3 linked regions of the Struthio camelus genome follow. The protein of the gene in region 2 interacts with the protein of the main gene of each other region in a pairwise test. Links are inferred from orthologs where the notes say so. Each region holds a gene or a part of one and is shown on either strand. Other genes may lie near its edges.

What was found.
Region 1: the proteins of DDX6 (region 2) and zinc finger and BTB domain-containing protein 8A interact in binary tests that used the Homo sapiens proteins (3 or more experiments, as listed by UniProt). The two-hybrid records come from large-scale screens. The link is inferred for Struthio camelus from reciprocal best matches to the Homo sapiens genes DDX6 and ZBTB8A.
Region 3: the proteins of DDX6 (region 2) and SIPA1L2 interact in binary tests that used the Homo sapiens proteins (3 or more experiments, as listed by UniProt). The two-hybrid records come from large-scale screens. The link is inferred for Struthio camelus from reciprocal best matches to the Homo sapiens genes DDX6 and SIPA1L2.

The regions. Positions count from the first base shown.
Region 1 is NC_090964.1:8,489,240-8,495,179, forward strand, and holds the start of zinc finger and BTB domain-containing protein 8A, read right to left. Parts: upstream 3,736-5,940; 5' UTR 3,507-3,735; intron 3,445-3,506; exon of another isoform or gene 3,263-3,444; intron 2,697-3,262; exon of another isoform or gene 2,685-2,696; 5' UTR 2,516-2,684; coding exon 2,475-2,515; intron 2,280-2,474; coding exon 1,312-2,279; intron 763-1,311; coding exon 593-762; intron 136-592; coding exon 1-135. UniProt on the Homo sapiens protein: May be involved in transcriptional regulation.
Region 2 is NC_090963.1:134,797-140,736, forward strand, and holds the start of DDX6 (probable ATP-dependent RNA helicase DDX6), read right to left. Parts: upstream 3,236-5,940; 5' UTR 3,102-3,235; intron 2,087-3,101; exon of another isoform or gene 1,879-2,086; intron 921-1,878; 5' UTR 653-920; coding exon 453-652; intron 1-452.
Region 3 is NC_090944.1:90,413,451-90,419,390, forward strand, and holds the start of SIPA1L2 (signal-induced proliferation-associated 1-like protein 2), read left to right. Parts: upstream 1-2,800; 5' UTR 2,801-3,156; intron 3,157-5,940.

The sequences.
Region 1 (5,940 bases), on a different chromosome or scaffold from region 2:
ACTGTCTATGCCAGCTTCAGCCAAACACTCATTACAGAGTCTGTAACGTCTTGTCCCCTCTTGGACCACTTGTCCTGTTAGCTCAGTCACGTGGCGTTTACACTTTCTGCAGATAGGCTTACAAGCCTGATGAATCTGGGAAAATTGAAATGAATAAATTTGATATTTTATCCACAGGGAAAAAGTGTTTTTTAAGATAACAAAAAGTGAGGCTAGAGTTGTGTCAAATGGTAGTGTTACCTCATTTTGACAGACGATCATCCAAATGTTAAAAACGCAGCAAACACAGGCTCTATAATTGTCAACTTAGGCTCTATTACAGGACTCAGAGCGCAGTACCTTTCTGAGCCATCAATTAACAAAGAATTTTCATATGAATTATGCTTCACATCATTGGTTTAAACAAAACTGGATTAATTTTGTATTACCTCTTAAGGTAGCCAGTATATCAACCAGATCTAGAATAACTGTAAACGTATCAGGAGAAAATGCCTGGAAAGTAGCTGTTGTTGGCTGACTAGTCTCCTTTAATTGTACTAACACAGTTAGATTTACACATTAAACAAATCATGCAGTTACTAAAAATACATACTGTTCGAAAATGGCTACTTAGGTGATCTAGCCTGCTAAATCTTTTTCCACATGCCTCACAAGGGTAAGGGCGCTCTCCTGTATGACAGCGAAGGTGACGCTTTAAGTCTGCTTTTCTTTTCACCACATGTGTACAGAATGGGCACTTGAACCTCATCCTGGGCAGATCATCTGTGAGAAAATAATTTAAGACAAACTTTATAAGTCATAACAAGTCTAGTCATGTAATATTCTAGGAAAAGGTTATTCTAGTTATGAAAAGCAACACGAGCAAAATGGCAAGCCATTTTTATTTTTAAAAAATATTATTATAGGTCTTTTCAAATACAAAGATCTTGTATTTTCCTGTTAATTACACAGGAGCGCAATAAAAAAAATGGAGCGGTCCATTAGCTATTTTAAAATGGATTTTAAAAATCCAAAAAAACTAATGACTTATATTTGCAGGATCAAGCTGTGGAGACGCTAAAGGTTATGCATTCTGAAAGGCTAGTTTTAATAAACTAATACAGCTATCAAGACAAATTTAAGACAGACATTTCTGTCATTCATAATTATTAAAAAATAAGAGTTAAACTTTCCAAAGTTACATTTCTGGGCAATACAGACCAACTTTTGTCAATATACACTTTCTTAGCAATGTATATTTTCTTACTGACAGAACAGACGATTAACAGATGATTATGTACTTATACTTAGAGCATTAAAACCAACTCTTACCTTCAGCCCAGCTTCCCATGACACCTAGAATCGAGGGCATGCTCGTATACTGCTCGTCTGCTTTTGAAGACTTGGATTTGCCAGAAGAACGAGGTGATTCATGCTCTTGCTGTGATACAGCTAAACTCCTTGGTATCACATCAGACCCTTGACCGTACTGGTATCCCACGTGAGGAGATTCAACTTCTGTTTCAATCTGAACTTGCTCCTCAGATTGAGTAACGTGGCCAGCAGGCTCAGAAGCCCTGTCCTCAAGTTTGCTTGATTTATAGTGAGGAATGTCAGAAGATTGCTGCAGTCCTAGGTGCCTGGTTTTTTTAATGGAATCCTGCCTTTGGTCATGCTTGGACAGCTGTTGCTGTGCATTTCTTTGAGAAGTTGGATAGTAGTTGAAATTGCTCCAAGCACTTCCACCCATCATACATGTCCCTTGATCCGGATTTAAGTGAGAATGTGGGGGGCTGCTTTCTGCCCTCCAGCCAGCACCATATAAGCAGGAGCGGTCCACGCCATTTGAATTTACATCTTTGTCCGAAAGACTGAAGTAGCGGTCCTTTTCCTTCTCACTGATGTCCAGAGATGACTTAATGAATGTCTTACACACGCTGATAACATCGGTCATCTGAAGATAGCTAGCCGCTGACATGACTTCAATGACGTTCTGACCAGTAAGGGACAGTTTGCCTGAATACACAAAATCTAGAATAACTGTAAACGTATCAGGAGAAAATGCCTGGAAAGTAGCTGTTGTTGGCTGACTAGTCTCCTTTGAACTCTGTGAAAGGAGCATTTTGAAATAGCCACTGCTGGCAAACAGCACATTTCGATGTGCTTTGAAGACCTTTCCCTCAACCAAGATATTGCAGTCACAGAATAAGTCCTGCCTGCGCTGCTCATTTAGTTGTTGCAGGAGGTGAAACTGGTGGGAAGAAATCTCCATTCCAGAAAAGGTGAAATGAAGTGTTGCTCTAAAATAAAAACATAATTAAAGTCTTGAGTTCAGCATCCTACAACTCAGCCAAAGATACTGCACCAGTTTTACAGATATCTTTTAAAATAATCCTTCTTAAAATATATGTTTTTAAATAACAATATGCATAACCATACATTCTATTTTGAAAAGAAAAGACTGCAAAAATAGAAAAAGCCACATAAACCCATACACGTTATTTGGCAGAGATGCGTGTGCTACAGCTAGGAGCATCTACTTCCTAAGGATGTGTGCAACTCGCTGGAAGCTGTACAACCTTCAGACAGTCAGCAACAAGACGACGAGCCCTTCAGCAGTTGCGAGTGTCTCGGTTGAAGAGTGTGTCCATGCCTTGAGTTGACGTTATCACATCGCCCTGGTCCGGCTGGGCTCATATCCTCGCCTCCGAAGGGACCAGAAATGGGTAGTCAGCGGCGGAGCCCTCAGCAGCCGCAGCCCTCCCGGCCCGGGCTCCCCCAGCATTGGTAGCGGTCGCCGTCACTCACCCGCCCGCCCGGCCGAATTGGTCGCTCGACCCTCGGGAGCCCGGGACGCCCGGCGGCGCAAGGCCCGCCCGCCAAGGCGCCTCGGCACCGCCTGGCTGCGCGGGCTGCCGCCCCCGGTCCTGCTGCCGCCGCCGCCGCTTGCCGCGGGGAGCGCAGCGTCAGCGCCCGCCAGGGCTCCGGGCGGCTGCGCGCGCCCACCGGGACACCGCGCCAGGCGCGCCGGGGCCGCAGCCGGAGCGACCGCGGAGCCGCTCGCGTTGCCGGAGCCGCGGTTCCCGCTCCCCCGGCCCCGCGGGGGCTCCGCCGCGCGGCGGCAGCCCGGCGCCTGGCGCCCGGCGTGGCCCCAGCAGCTCCTGCCGCCGCTGCCCGCCGCCTCCGCCGCGCCGGCAGCGCCCTGCCCGCCCCCTGCCGCGGCCCCTCTCGCCCCACACCCGCTGCCCAGCTCCCGCTCCCGCGCAGCCCTTTGTTGCCGTGCCTGGCTCCTCGCAGCCGCGCCCGGGGCTGCAAATGGCGCCCGCTTAGGTCTCTCCCAGCGCTGTGCAGCCCGGGTAACGAGCGGCTCCGAGCGGCGGCGGGGAGCGCGCCGGCCGCCCAGCGGGGACTGCGGAGCCGAGGGACGTCCCTCGCCGCCCCTCGCAGCAGGCTCGCTCTGGGGCCCTTTCCGCCCCCAAATCCCAACGCCCTGTCTGGCCTGCCGGCGTGCGAGAGCCGCCACTTACCGGCTGGGTTCTGCGGGTGGCTGCTGCCGCCGCCGCTGCCGCTTCGCCGAGAGGAGCAGGCGGTGGATGCGGGATCCCCGGCCCCCGCGTCGGGGCTCTTTGCGGTTTAAGGCAATGTGTTGGTCCCGCAGCCCCAAACCCTGGAAGCCCGAACGTGAGAGAAACAAAAGGTATTTGCTGACGTGGGCGTTGGACAGAGACGCCCGAGGGCTGGGGACACAATTAAAGGGGCAACGCACCGATTGCAGGCACAGCCCAGCAGCTTCCTCTGCCTGATCGCCCTGCAGTCTGGGCTGCTTCCCTCCTCTCACACCCACATGCTACCCAAGAGGGGATGTGATGCCCTAGATGTTTCCTTCTCACACCTTTATCTATAGCAGGGGCCTTGATGACCCAAATCCTTCCTTCATATGCCTGCGGCTTCCTCAAGAGGAGATGTAGTGTTCCTCTGTTTTTGCATGTCTCCGTTATCTTCTGAAGAAACCATAATATCTGAAATCCTTCCACCCAAGCCTCTCACCTTGTCTCACTTGAAGTTTGGAATCTTTCTCTTTCCTGTTCTTACCACCAGGGTATTTTCTGTGCTCTGACACCCCAGATATTTCTCATAAATACTTCTTCTCCCATGGGAGCCGTTCTGCCTTAACCATATCCTTTGTGTCCTTTTTAGCCCTCCCTTCCATAAACTTAAGACATTCCATCTTGAAACAATTTAAGTTCCTTTTCCCCACTGTGGGGAAAAGGGAAAGTTATCTACAGACTCTTTCCTCTCATAGTCAAAAACATTCTCTCAGGATATCCTATAAATTTAGTCATACCCAATTTATATCCATATATGTTGTAACAATATTTATTGTCAACTTAATTCACCCTTTTTAATAACCTTCCCTCGTTTTGTGGATTCCATCTCCTTTCAAACTTTAATATGCAGGCCGCATTCTTAAATCTTTCATAAGACCTGCCAGTTTAAATTAATCATTCTTGAACATAAAAGTGATCAGAGCTTGAACAGTATTTGACATGACACTGTTCAGGGCCCTGGACAATGATATTAATTCTCCGACAACTGAAAACATTTGAATCTGCTGTATCCTACAGCTGACCAGCCTTTTCCAGCCATGTCACAATACTACTTCATAATCATCGTGTGATCAGTGGATACATCTCTCTAGTCTTCGGTTGTGTCCAGTAGCTTGTAATATGTATTCTTCTATCTAAAGTCATACTTTTTGCATTTTGTACTGTTAAATTTTCCACATTTCTGTCAGTGCAGTCCAAAAAGACTTTAATCTGTAAATTCCTGTAAATTCCATTTTGCGTGGTATTGACAATTCCTTAGAATTTGTATCATCTGCAAATGTCATAAGATTGTATTGTACTTTTACATCAAAGTCTAAATAATGTATTAGCTGAACTGATTCCAAAGCTGGTCCAGGGGACCATTAGTAACTCTCTTCCTCCTCATCACTCCCCTTTCAGGGTAACTCAGCATAACCCCAGTTCCCAACTTCTTCCAGTTCTTACATTATTCAGTGGTGCATACCTGCACGTTGAATACTCTGTACAGTCCAGGTGTCACTCATCTCAAAGAGGATACACAGGAGCCTGAAAAGGGAAAGAGAAATGATAAAAGGTCTGGAACAGCTTTGTGCAAATGTCTATGCTGTGTGGAATCTCCAAACCAGAAAAAAATTGAGGCAGATGAGGTAAGATGAAAGTCTATAAAATCACAAGTGGTTCCTCAGATAACTTGTAGTTAGACACTGGAATTTCTTGCCACAGGCTGTTGTGGACACGAAAAGTTGGAGTGTTATGTGGGATACTGGACCAGCTCATGAGAGAGACCTGATATTTGCTCACAGAAATGTCCTGTATCTCAGGAAATCCCCGAGTCATAAACCTCCTACAGTTAAAAGTCAGGTAAAAGTATTGCTGTATGCTTGCCATATTCTTCCACAGAGCAACTGCTTTTGACTGCTATTGTAAACAGGATAGTGGGTTAGATGAGCTGGTACAGCTGTCCTTTGGTTAATTCTCATACACTGCTATCCCTGAATTTACAGAACCACTGGAAACTGGCTACTAGCTACTACTAACTTGCAATTAGCTGTGCTTATTCTTTCTAAATTGTGCTCAGTCCGGTGGAGTTTGTCAGTTCCACTGTCGGTTCCCTTTCCTCTCCCTCAGTCTCGGCAAAGCAAGCAGGATAGGTTTTACTTACATCTCAGATACTGTTGTGCCCTGTCCCAGTTCTTAGGCAATATTCTTATCATTGCTGTCATACATATTAAAATCTTTTTAGAAAATAAGGCAAAATGTTCTCATGGTATTTGGTCTATGCTTTGTTAGTCTTAAACGTCATCCATCCTAGTTGTCAGATGGCTATGGGGCTGGCATTATCTAACTGATTTCTCCCAAAGAAGCAAAAGGAATT
Region 2 (5,940 bases):
CATGACAGACATCTACAACAAATAAATGAAAACCACACACAACTAGGCTAAGGCTACGTGGTACTTCCTCCTCTGTCTTAAATCTCAATTCAGTTCCTTCACGCTCCCCAATTCCCTTCTCCTACTGCTTGCAACAAGCAAAGGAAACAGGATGATGCTGCTCAGTCTAGTGCTACTTTTGTCAAGTGACTATATGCTTTGAAAAACAAAGTACCAAATTCAATTTTCACAACTACTAAATTACTAAAGACCACTGTCAGAGAGACGCTCACACCTGAAAATCCTTTCTTTTTTTAAATGCATGTCACAGGACACCTCTGTCACCAATATCATAAAACAATAGAATAAAAAACTTTTTAAATACAAGAAACCAATTACACTTTCCCATGCATGAAATTTAAATGTTATTTTTACGTCAGCTAACGTTATTTAGTATTTACATGAATACTTACTTAATAGTGGTGGTCATACTCTGTGCTTGCTGTTGAGTGCCGTTATTGATTGTGTTGGCATTTTTCAGCTGGTTCATCTGTTGCTGAGTCTGTGTGCCTCCACCTCCTGGGCCCCCGCTGGGTTTAACAGGGCCTCTCAACTGCCCATTCTGACTGGATAGACCCATTATAACAGGGTTCTCTGTTCTGGCCGTGCTCATGTTTTTATTTTTAAAGATGTCTTTTTAGACTTCAAAACTTTGAAAGTCAGTACAGAAACTGTAATAACAGTTTATTAGACTCTCCAAAATGAAGAGATAAATAAGTCTTGCTCAATATATGAGTCCTTTATTGCAATGCAGGCAAGCACCTGTAAGTCACTCAAAAGTAAAGCAGTAACTTGCTCTGATGCACTGTGGATCAACTTTTTTTTTTTTAAAAAAAGCCCTCTAACAAAGTTGAGTTATATCCAAATTCACTTGCTTCAATCTGAAAAAGAAGCAGATGACAACAATTAATATGTGGATTTCTTGCCTATGGAATTTGCATCTGTTTATATTGTAAAACTGCCTGCAATAACATGCATTACCTAAAAATCACTTCTTCTCAGGCAGCATGCAACACAAAGTACCTGCTTTTCTATTTCCTCGGTTTAAGTACCCCAAACACACCAAACTGTTTTCCCTTGCTATAAAGCTGAGTGCAACACTGTAGGTCACCGGAGATCATTTTGTGAACTTTCAGCAGCCTTCCTGGGATTAATCACTTGAAAAATACTACCTAGCCCCCTTGTAAAGTAGGCATGAATTATATCAGCTGCTTTGCCTATCCTTGAAATGCACCCACCTTTGGGACACAGCAGAGCAGCCATAAAACACTAAGCAACAACATCACACAGAAGTTTATGACAGAAAGTAAGACCACAATATCGAATGGACATTATAGGCAGAATTCAAAAGACCCTTAAGATACTCTGACTTGTCCTTTCAACTAGAAATAGGAATGATGACATACCATCTTAAAAACCCAACCAACTACAGGAGTGACTTGGAAGTTTTCCCTCATCCACCCCCAAAAATTAGTTTAGTCAGCTTACTTTAAACCAATACCCAACTTAAACATTTATAAATCATTCAGAAGAGCAAAACTTATGACATCATCAAGCTGAACTGACAGCAGCTTCCTGCTTTGTTAAGTCTAAATGACTGCACCTAAACTGTTCTTTCATCTCTAGTCTGAAGCAATGAATAAACACATGTACACTAGGTACGCAGCTTCCTGCTTGTGTGCTGCATGACGTTACATTCCAGCTGTCACTAACAATCCATACCGCGCTCAAAAGATAACATTCGAATGCGTAACTTGACAGTGACGTCATACTTAACAAAAGAGTCGACAAAAACATATGCAGATAATATAAAGCTTGTATCTTACATATAGCACGTACATGGCCAGAGTTGAAAAACTCTTCTTATGATGGTAATAGGGAGCCAAGACACTCCCTAGTCTAAAACTTTTTTAGAGGAACAGAAAGTAGGCTTGCAGGTAACATTTCTCATTGCAAAGCATCTGCATCTTGGGACAATACAAAGGGAAAACCAGCAGGCTGATGATTGCCAAGTTCAACGTCCAAAAAAATGCATACTCCTCAGCGACTAAAACACAGATTTAAAACAGATACTGGCATCTGAAGTTTAAAGTGACATAAATACTATACTTAGGAAAGCAGATAGAAACGGAATTCAAACTCTTCTCGAATTGTTCAGCTGTTTCCCAGCGTATTGATTATAGCTTCATAGCATAACTTCAAGCTTATTAGAATTAAGATTATTTCCTAGTTAGTTTCCTGGCTAGAAGCACGGTTTAAACATCTTCTTTGAAAAGACAGCCCCCCTTAACCTTACTTTCACACCCAAACGGACGAGTCACCTAAAAACTCCGGATACACCAACAAGAGTTCCTCCAATGTTTTTATTAAAGGGAGTTCTAGTCCTCTAGCCTCCCTCGTTCGTGCTCATCCTTTGAAAGGCAGCACACAACCTCCCCAGGCCCGGCACACCTCCACGTCCAAAACAAGCAGCGCCACCATTTCACAAACTGGCGGTCCGACCGCAAAGAGGCCCCCGCACCCCGGGCTTCCCCTGCCGAGGCAGCCCACGTAGGCAGGCGCGGCAGCCGCCCCCCGGCCGCTCCCTCCTCCGCCGGCAGCAGATACGACACACCGCTCCGCGGCCCAGCCGGGCGGCACAAAGCGGCCGCCCAGCCGGCCCCGCCGCGGGAACCCCCGCGGCGCCCATTGTTGCCGCCACCCCGGGCCAGGCCGCAGCGCGGCGTCGCCCCGGGCCCGGCGGCGGGGCCGCGCCGCCCGCGCAACGCAGCTGCGCCATACCGGCACCTCCCGCCCGCGAACAATGGAGAAGCGCCCGCTCGCCCGCGGCCCCGCCGCTCGGGCCGGCAGCGAGCGCCGCGGCCGCCGCCGCGCCGCCGCCGCCTCCCGCACCGCCCCGGCCGCAGCCGCCCGGCCCGCGGCCCCTCAGCGCCGCCAGGCCCGGGCCAGGCCCCGCCGCTCCCGCGACGCGGCGCAGGCCGCGAGGCTCGGCCGGGCGGCGGCGGCCTCCATTGCGCTCCCCGCGGCCCCGCGCCCGCCCCGGCGCCCTGGCCCGTCCTCACCGCCACCAGCCGCGCTCCCCCCTCGCTCAGGTATAAAATCCTCTCGCTCCCCCTTGGTGCCTTGTTATGGCGACTCGACGCTCCAAGATGGCGGCTTCCTCCTTCCTCCCGTGCGCCCTCCCCCTCCCGGCAGGGCAGGCCAGGCCCCGCCCCGCCCCGCACGCGCGGACGCACGCACGCAGGCACGCGCCGCGCCGCGCCGCGCCCCGCCCCTGCCGTGCGTCAGCGCGGGGCGGGGCCGGGGCGAGGGGGCGGGGCCCCGGCCTGCCGTTGCGGCTGGCGCTGGGGGTGCCTCCTGGGCACCGCCGCCTTCCCTTCGGCCCTCGCGGCCCCGGCCCCGGCCCCCCCTTGGCTGCCTCCCGCTGCCCGCCCGCCGCGCTGGGCAGCAGCTCTCGGCCCGGCGGTCCGCGCGGCCGGCGCTGCTGCGGCTCGCAGAGGCGCCCAGCTCCTCCCGAAGGAGCTGCGCCCTGTTCTCCTCCAGGGACGGCCCCCGGCTTTCACTCCTTATGAAGAAGGTCCAAAGCCGGGCTGAGCTCAAAACTCCTTCCTTCGCGACTCCATCCCTAGCTTCCTTCTTTCAGCACCTCTTGCCGCCCCCCGTTTTCCTCTCCTTTAGTGAGCTCTGCACCTGCTTTACCATCCTGAACTAGGAACTTTCCCTATGGCTCTGTATCCGCGGTTCGGCCGACATCCAGAGAGACCTGATTCACTGCGCTGCCGTTATCTGCGAAGCCATCTGCCTTGCAAGAAAAAGGAAGTAGGAGGCGAGCGTGTTACGATCTACCTTTGCTAAGCGTGGGTCGCATTTTATACTGCGTTCATTCAGTTCCAGGCCCTCTGATGTGCAAAACACGCGCTGAGCCCTGCGCGTTATTTAGATCAGAGAGACAGGTCTGCCGTGGACCGGATCACGTTCCCTCCCTTCTCATTTGTTATTCTCGACTGACATGGCAGCGCTCCTGCACTGAGAGATACGCACAGATCATTGCTGCTAGACCTGCAATTTCATGCTCCAGTTCTTTTAGTGTTCTGGGATGGAGATTATACAGTCACTGTCCGTGTACACTTGGAGCGATCTGCATTTTGCTTCCCCCTCAGATGTGGCAATTTCCATTTCCACATCCTCATTTCTCTTGAGCCATCCTGCCTTTTTGCCTGTTCTTTTCACTAACAAACACAAAATATTAATTCAGTCCTGGGACACTTCCAGAGATATTAAATTTCCAAAAAGTCTAAAGGCATTGGAGGGTGGGGTGGACAACAGAGAAACACACATACACAATGCAAATACATGTATTGCATTGGCGATGAAGATGCACTTGCACCTGAAGCTACATAAGTATTTTTGCCTATTTACATATCCCTAAAATAGGGAGGAGGGGAAAACATAACACCGAAAACAGAAACCACCAGCCTTGATGACTTCTCTGGCTAAGAAGCAGAATCTATCTCAGACCTAATATCAGAGCTACCAAAAAAATGTATTTCCTAATAAAAAGCCTGGAAACTGAACATGACTTCACTGTGTAGTTATTATAACAGAGTTAACATGAGCAAAACATTAAGGATAGGAGACTGACCCACAGCATGCAGGAGCTAGAATCACCTAATATTACACGTTTGAGATAGTTATTTCCTTTCAATATATCTATTATCAGTACAAGGATTTTGAAGAATTGAAGCACAGTATTAATGTGCCTTCTGTTCCAAGCAGCACAAGAGAGAAAGACAGTTGTCGAACCTTTCAGATGCCAGGGGCATGAAAAAGTTGTACCTCACTTCTTTCTTACTGTGCCAGCTGGCTGCCTTTCGGCCTAATTATTGCAGAGGTACTAGCTGGGACTGTCTTTGTGAAGCCGTTCACAGCATCAGGGACTGTACAGTCCGTTCTGTACAGGACCAGTACTGACTTCTCCAGTGCCTGCTTGGTTCTCAGACCCTGCTGTGGAGAGAGCAGTGTTTCATTTTAACTGTCGGTAGGGCTAAGCATCTTACTTCACAATGAGATTTACAGGACATAGTATGCAGTAACCTTAGGAGAAAGAATAAATGACAACATAAATACCAGATTAGCAAATACGAGTAACATCTGTGGGCAGCACATGGTTTGCTTAGTTAGGATAACAGCAAACAGGATGACTTGAAAACATTGGAAGTGAGAAGATTCAGCAGTGAGAAGTGAGCTGGGTTTCTCAAGCATAGCTTAGGAAGCCAATATAATGTCAAACCAGTCAGTAGAAATGTTTGTCAGTTATGCACAGTAGGGCAATTATGTTCAAGTGGTGCATTTTATCCTCCTTATATAAATCTGAATAATTCAATATTATCGGAATACCTTATACAAGTTAACATAATTTTATGTTAGTGATAATACAAGAATGGTTCTGTAGTGAGAGAATGTTCCTGCATCAGAGTTCAGCCGGGAGTTCCCATGTACGGACACCAAAGCATTCCTCAAATACTTGTCTTTGCACTTTGGTAAGATTTTCTTCCGTAATAGGCTACCCACCTGCTGGCATCCTCTGAAGTGACATTATTTTAAATCTGAGTTTCTTTTTTCTACACTTATTTTTCTTCCACGCTCCTTTCTTTCATATCACGTTTCCTACATTTCACAATTCAGCAACGCAGAGATCCTCTAGGTCACATCGGTATGGCAGCAATCATCTACTCAGGGTATTGTGGGTTTGCAATTTAAATCACTTGTGCCTATCGCTTTGGGATGAACTCTTTTCATTTCCACCACTGGTCTAAGGGCCAAGCACATGGCTTGGGGGTCGTTTCCAGCCTACAGTTCCCTGTAGCATTTCCTCCAATTGACTGCAGGTACATCCTGCGT
Region 3 (5,940 bases), on a different chromosome or scaffold from region 2:
AAAATATTATAGCTCTGTTACCTGTTAGTGTAGCGCTATACCAGCTTCATAAGTTTGCACATGAAACGTAGCCAAGCTTATCAAAGAACAATTTAGCTGCACTGCTGATTTAGCCGGCAGAAAATCAGCCACCGTAGAGCGAGGTTAGTCATTAAAGAAACAAGTTTAGCAAAACAGAGTAAAAAGAGCATAGTCCCTGTGCAGGGCCTGGAGCCAGCACCGCACCGCACCGCGCAGTTGATAAGAGGACACCTAGTGGTGGTTAGCAGTGGGAGCGCCTTCCTCAAAGAGATGCTCGTAAATCGTTGCAGATAAACACTTCTGCTGCCAGTCATCTCCTCTGTTTTGTCCAATAATGAATTTGTGGTGTACTGTGGGGTGCGCAGCACAGCCACACTGCGCAATGCCACGGGGAGAATTGAGCAATGAGGTTTGGCAGGGCCTACAGAAAACAGATCATCGGTCAAATTCTGCTCTGATATACAGTGTTGAAAGGGTAGTACTGGAGAACAGAATTTGATCAAGAATATTTTACATAGTTTGATATTGAGGCACATTTGTCAAGGGAGGGCTATTAATGACGGTGCGGAGAGATGCTTTCAAACCTGAGCAGAAGGATCAAAATGAATAACATGATATAGAGGGGGTGAGGGTAGGCTGAAAAGAGAGGGAAAAAAAAAAGCAAAAAGGAGAAGAAAAAACAGAAAGGACTAGGGAGAACTCGTTCTAAAAAAGATCCTGAGAGAGTCTGGAGAACAGTTTTGCTGGTGATCCAGTTTTCCTGCAGAACAAGAGATAGAGAGGAGAAAGTAAATGATAGCAAGGAGAGAAAATTCAGTAATTGTTGCGAAGAGTCTGAACTCCAGAGAGGCAGCTGGTTTTCAGAGTGAAAGAGACTCATTGAAATAAGCAGCCAGAGCACTACAGCAATGAGAAACTGAACAGTAGAGAAATTACAAACAAGTACAGGCTACCATAGTTTGTATGCTCTTGCATCTCTCTTAATCCCTTATCTTTCCATTGACATTTCCTGGGCTAGGTTTAGAGGAATGATCCTTCCAAGATGGACACTGTTTATAACATGGTCATAATGGAAAAATACATTGCTTCCTCCGCTTGCAGTATTTTTTTCTGAGGCTCCTTGTCAGGACAATAACAACATTATTCCTATGGTCTTGCTTTAGTACAGAGATAGTCTAGCTGTACTACTGATTTTAGTTAGAAATAATATATTCAAAAATGGTTTTTTAACCAAAACAGAAACACTCAAGATGGCATCTAAACACTAAGTAATGTATGTGATGTTTGCTAGTGCTTTTAGAATAAATGATGTCATTTGAATTTTGTTCTACTAGAAAGCCTGCATGAATCTGTGCTTAAATTTACAAATGTGGACTGTATTTCTTAATTTAAAATGCGTATTAAAGGAACAGTTAAGCATAGTAACCCAAAATTTGGCCTGCCCTGGATGTTTTGGATCTTTGGTGTGCATGTGGCCGTTCTTTTCCACTATATCCTTCTTCTCTGTTTCCAGCAAAGGGTAGGCAGTGAGAAGTTTACAAGGCAGCAGAATACTTGTAAATGTCAACATTCAACCTGTTCACCAGAGCTGAGCAAACTGGTACGACCAGAAAGTTACATACTCATGAGAGGTGGGCGCGGGCGGAGGGGGAAGCAAGCGAGAGAGGACAAAAAAAAAAAAAAAAGGATCATGGATAGTTTCTGTAGGGTTCAGTAGGAGTGGACTTTTAATTCCAGTGATGTTGCAGGCCTCGTAATTTGGGGTAGCAGATGGGATCAGCCACATCAGTCATGATAACATCTTTTATGTTGCAACCTCCGTGTAGAGGTGGCTCCTATGACTGCAGATGTGGCCCCTTGCAGAACTGGCCCACAGAGTAGAAACAGGGAAATTCAAATTTCAAAACCAGATTTTGTTTTGCTTACCAGAGCTCGTGGAGGAGGTGGAGGAAATGCGGATACCTCATCATGGCTTATTTGGCAGGCAAACTAAACATGTTCAGAGCTGTACAACACGGAGGGAAAGCACCCCTGTTCCTGACCGTATACAATTTGAAAGCAGCACGCAGGAGGCAGAGCACACAGGGCAATTCAGAGGACGCAGCTGCGGTGCATTTATTTACTGTAGGTCTCTCCGGTTCGAAGCGATAGGTAAGAACAACAGGCACTAACGGACGGGAACAAAGCCAAAGACTTGGCAGGGGTCGCTCCCCGCTGCGAGCCCCGCGGGTCTCCCACGGCAGTGCCAGTTGGGTACGATTTGATTTTTCAGGGCTTTCACTAGGGTAACTCAGAGCCTATCAGGGTGACACAGAGGCCCAGTCACCCTGTTACTCGAGGGGTCCCGAGGGAGGCAGCGGCCGTTGGCGCTAACGGCCGCGGGGCGGGGGGCCGGACCGGCGGCGTTGTCCAAGGTCTTGAAAGTGGGGACGGCGAGCCGTGCGGGGTAGGCGACGTGCCGCCGGGCTGCCCAGGGCACCGCGCCCACCCCACCTGTTGCTCGCTTCCATTCATCAGCCGGCAGCCCCGTCGCCGGGCCCCGCGGCGCACCGCGGAGCCCGGAGCCGGCGCGCAGACCCTTTCCGCGGGCGCCGCCGCCGGGCCGGCTGAAAGCCGTGGGGGGGGGGGGGGGGGGGGGAGGGAAGGAGGTGGTGGGCACGCTGACGGGGCGGGGCCTGGTGTTTTGGTTGCGCGACAGCGCGTGTGGCCAATGCGGAGTTCGCGTTCCCCCGGGGCCGAGCCGGCGGAGCCAATGGGAGGCGGGGCCGGGAGAAGGGGTGGGGCTGGAGGGTGTGTGAGGGATAGCGAGAGCGTGTGTGTCGGTGCCCCTCCCTCCGCCTCTCTTCCCTGTCCGGCGGCTGAGGCGCACTCGAGACCCAGCGCCGGGGAGAGCGCGAGGCGAGAGAGGGAGCGAGCGCGCCAGCCCTCAACGGGCGCTCCCCCCCTCCCCCCGTTCCGTTAACGGCTCCGCCGCCCCGCGGGCGGTTTGTCCCGCGGGAGGGGCGCGGAGCGCGGCCGCTCGCAGGGAGCAGCGCGGGGAGGGGTGAGGCGAGGAGCCTGCGAGAGTGTGTGTACGTGAAGAGGGGGGCGATGGGGATCCTGCGGCGAGAGCAGCCACAGCCGGGGCAGCAGCAGGTAAGGAGCGGCGCCTGCCACCGCGTCCGTGCCCCGCGGGAGGAGGGTGTGCGGGGCGGGGGGAGGGGGCGGGCGGGATGGGACGGGTGGCTGAAGGAGAGCGGAGCGTGCCGGTGCTTTCCTTCCCGAGAAGGGCTCGGGGGGTGGGGGGGAGGGATGGGGAGAGTCTGGGCAAGGGGAGCCGGTGGGAATGGGCCCTTCTCCTCTCCCTTCCCCTCTGGTACCTTTGAGGGACCCCCGGCTGTGGGGGAGGCAGTCCCGGCTTCTCCAGGGGCTCCGCGGGGTGCCCCAGCTGGGAGGACGGCAGGCTGCGGGGCGAGGAGGTGGGAAGCGGCGGGTCTGCCGCCCTGCGGAGCCGGGAGAGGAGCCCCCTCCCCCCCCCCCCCCCCGTTTGGGCCGCGTCTCCCCCCGCCCCAGCGCGCCGCTCCGCTCTCGCCGCCGCGCCGGAGCGCGATCGCTTTGCTCCCGCACGTCGCCTTTATAAATAGCGTTGTGACCTGCTAACTAACTAATACCCGCGAGGGTGGCTGTGGGGGCGGCACGGGTGTAAATCGGGTCGTCAGTCTCTTACAGACTGGCTCTGCGACCGGCTCTAGCAGCTCTGCGTGTAGTCACGTTGTTTCGGGCTTTGAAGCCCACTTAAGGAATAATGGCAATTACGGAGTAAGTTTGTCTTCGTAGGACATCTCTGGGCTGTGGCTTTGTTTTTTCTACCGTGAAAACGGTAGAATGGGGACCACCAACCATATAATATAGCAGAGAGAAAGATTCTTTTGCCCGTGTCGTTTTCTTAAGTGATTTTAATGCAATTTGTTTACTCTTTCTGAGACTCAGCTGTATTATCAGCTGTATTCTTTGCACTGTTGCCTTGTAACGCTTTGCTGTGTGCTCGGTGATCCATTCTCCGAACTTTGTGTTTGGTTTGTTCAATGATAGTCAGCTGAGATCAACTTTGCTTTAGATTTTCTTTTTTTCTGGTTACATAGCTCATCTGTGGCGCTACACAATGTTTTGCGTAGAAGGTACATGTCCGCATGAATGCGGAACTAGTGTTCAGCCTGCTCTTGACAAAGACTGCTCTGAAGTTGACAAATTTCAGATGTGACTATTAACATTCACAAAATAGGCCGGTAAGCTAGTTTAGTATTTGATGCTGGATTATTTTAACATGTTAGTAGTTAGAATATTTGCTTTCAGCCTTGCTTTTCTGGCAGAAACTAGTTTTATTACTTCAGATGCAGAAGACTTGCAAAGTTAAAGAGAATTGCTCGTATAAATTCTTCTAAACTCTTTTGTGCGCTATTTTCACTTCTAAAAGTTAACGCTAGATGGCTTGCTTATCTCAGACATCCAACAGAGGAGGAAGGCCTCTAATCCGTCTCTGCAGCCTAGCATTCTATATTGGTCTATTTTTTTTCTTCCCATGAATACTACACTACCTTCTTGATCAGTTCTGCGCCGATTAGACCACAGCACAATGTAAAGTTTGCTTGCTAGCTGACATAATTTGTTGTTTTGATCAGTGCTTCTTACTGTTTATAGATACCATTTTATATGGTACTGCCGATATCTAAAGCAAGTTTGTTTAGTCAGAAGATAGTTTTGAAAAATATTTAGGTTATTTTAAAGGAAGGCAGCTGGATGGGAAGGGATGTTTGTAAATGGAATGGAACAATAATTCAGTCTGTTATTACTTAGCTTGACAGGCTTGTCTTCCTTTAAAAAAGGACCACAGTGTATTAAAATATGCTTGTTCAGCTATTTTTTCCTAGATTCTTTACCTGACTATTTTAGAGTGATCAATTTTGGGCTTGGACTGAGAAACCTAATGCACTACAGCCTGCTGGATATAAGAATTTGCCTAGGCCTGATGCAATTTATTTTCTGTGTTTCTCCCGAACTATGAGTGGACTGAGCGGAATACAATATTTGCCCCTGTATTTGCTTCTTTTGATAGTATCTCTGGGATAATTGAATCTTAAATCTGATCTTTGAGATATCTTTTATTATTGATGCAAAAATGTTTAAATCATCAAGAGGTATAATGCGTTATGGATATTTAAACGTCACTTAGACTCCACAACAATTGATTTATAATTTATGTAGCTTGCAGATAAAGTAAGATCACAGAGAGGTCTCTGAATCTATTGTCTTTATTTTACATGCCCAGTGAGTTACTTTTCCAGGTCATGCAGCACTTAGGTGTAACAGGAAGGAATACTTACTTGTAAGGATGCCAGACTGTTTCACCAATCATATTGGATCAATTAAAGATCATATCATTCATATATACCAAGGGTATAATGTGAAACCTAGAATTAAACAAAACCTCAATTATTTGTAGCTGATATTTGCTTACTATGCAAATCAGAATATTTTTAGAGGTTTATATTCTCTTTTCCTGAAAGAAAGATAATCTAGTCTTTTTTGTAGACATTTAATGATCCACACCATTCCTTAAGCACGTTGTGAAATACACTTGCAAATGTAGAGAGCTAAATGAGAAATTAAGCAAGCCAGCAGTCAAAGCAACCAAAACCTTCCATTTCTTCTGCTGTCTGATGACCTTTACAAGTGAACTGAGGCAGTTCTTTTTTTTTTTTTTTTTTTTTTCACTTTCAGCTTCATATTGGATGTATTAGTCAAGCGTTGCACCTAGGATTTTTATGTGCAGATCAGCAGTTCTACCTGCAGGAGAAAGTAAATATTTTCTCCTTGCCTTGACTAGGATTAAAATTATATTTAGATAGCTGAATATTAAAGTATTTTCAGTAGATTCATAGC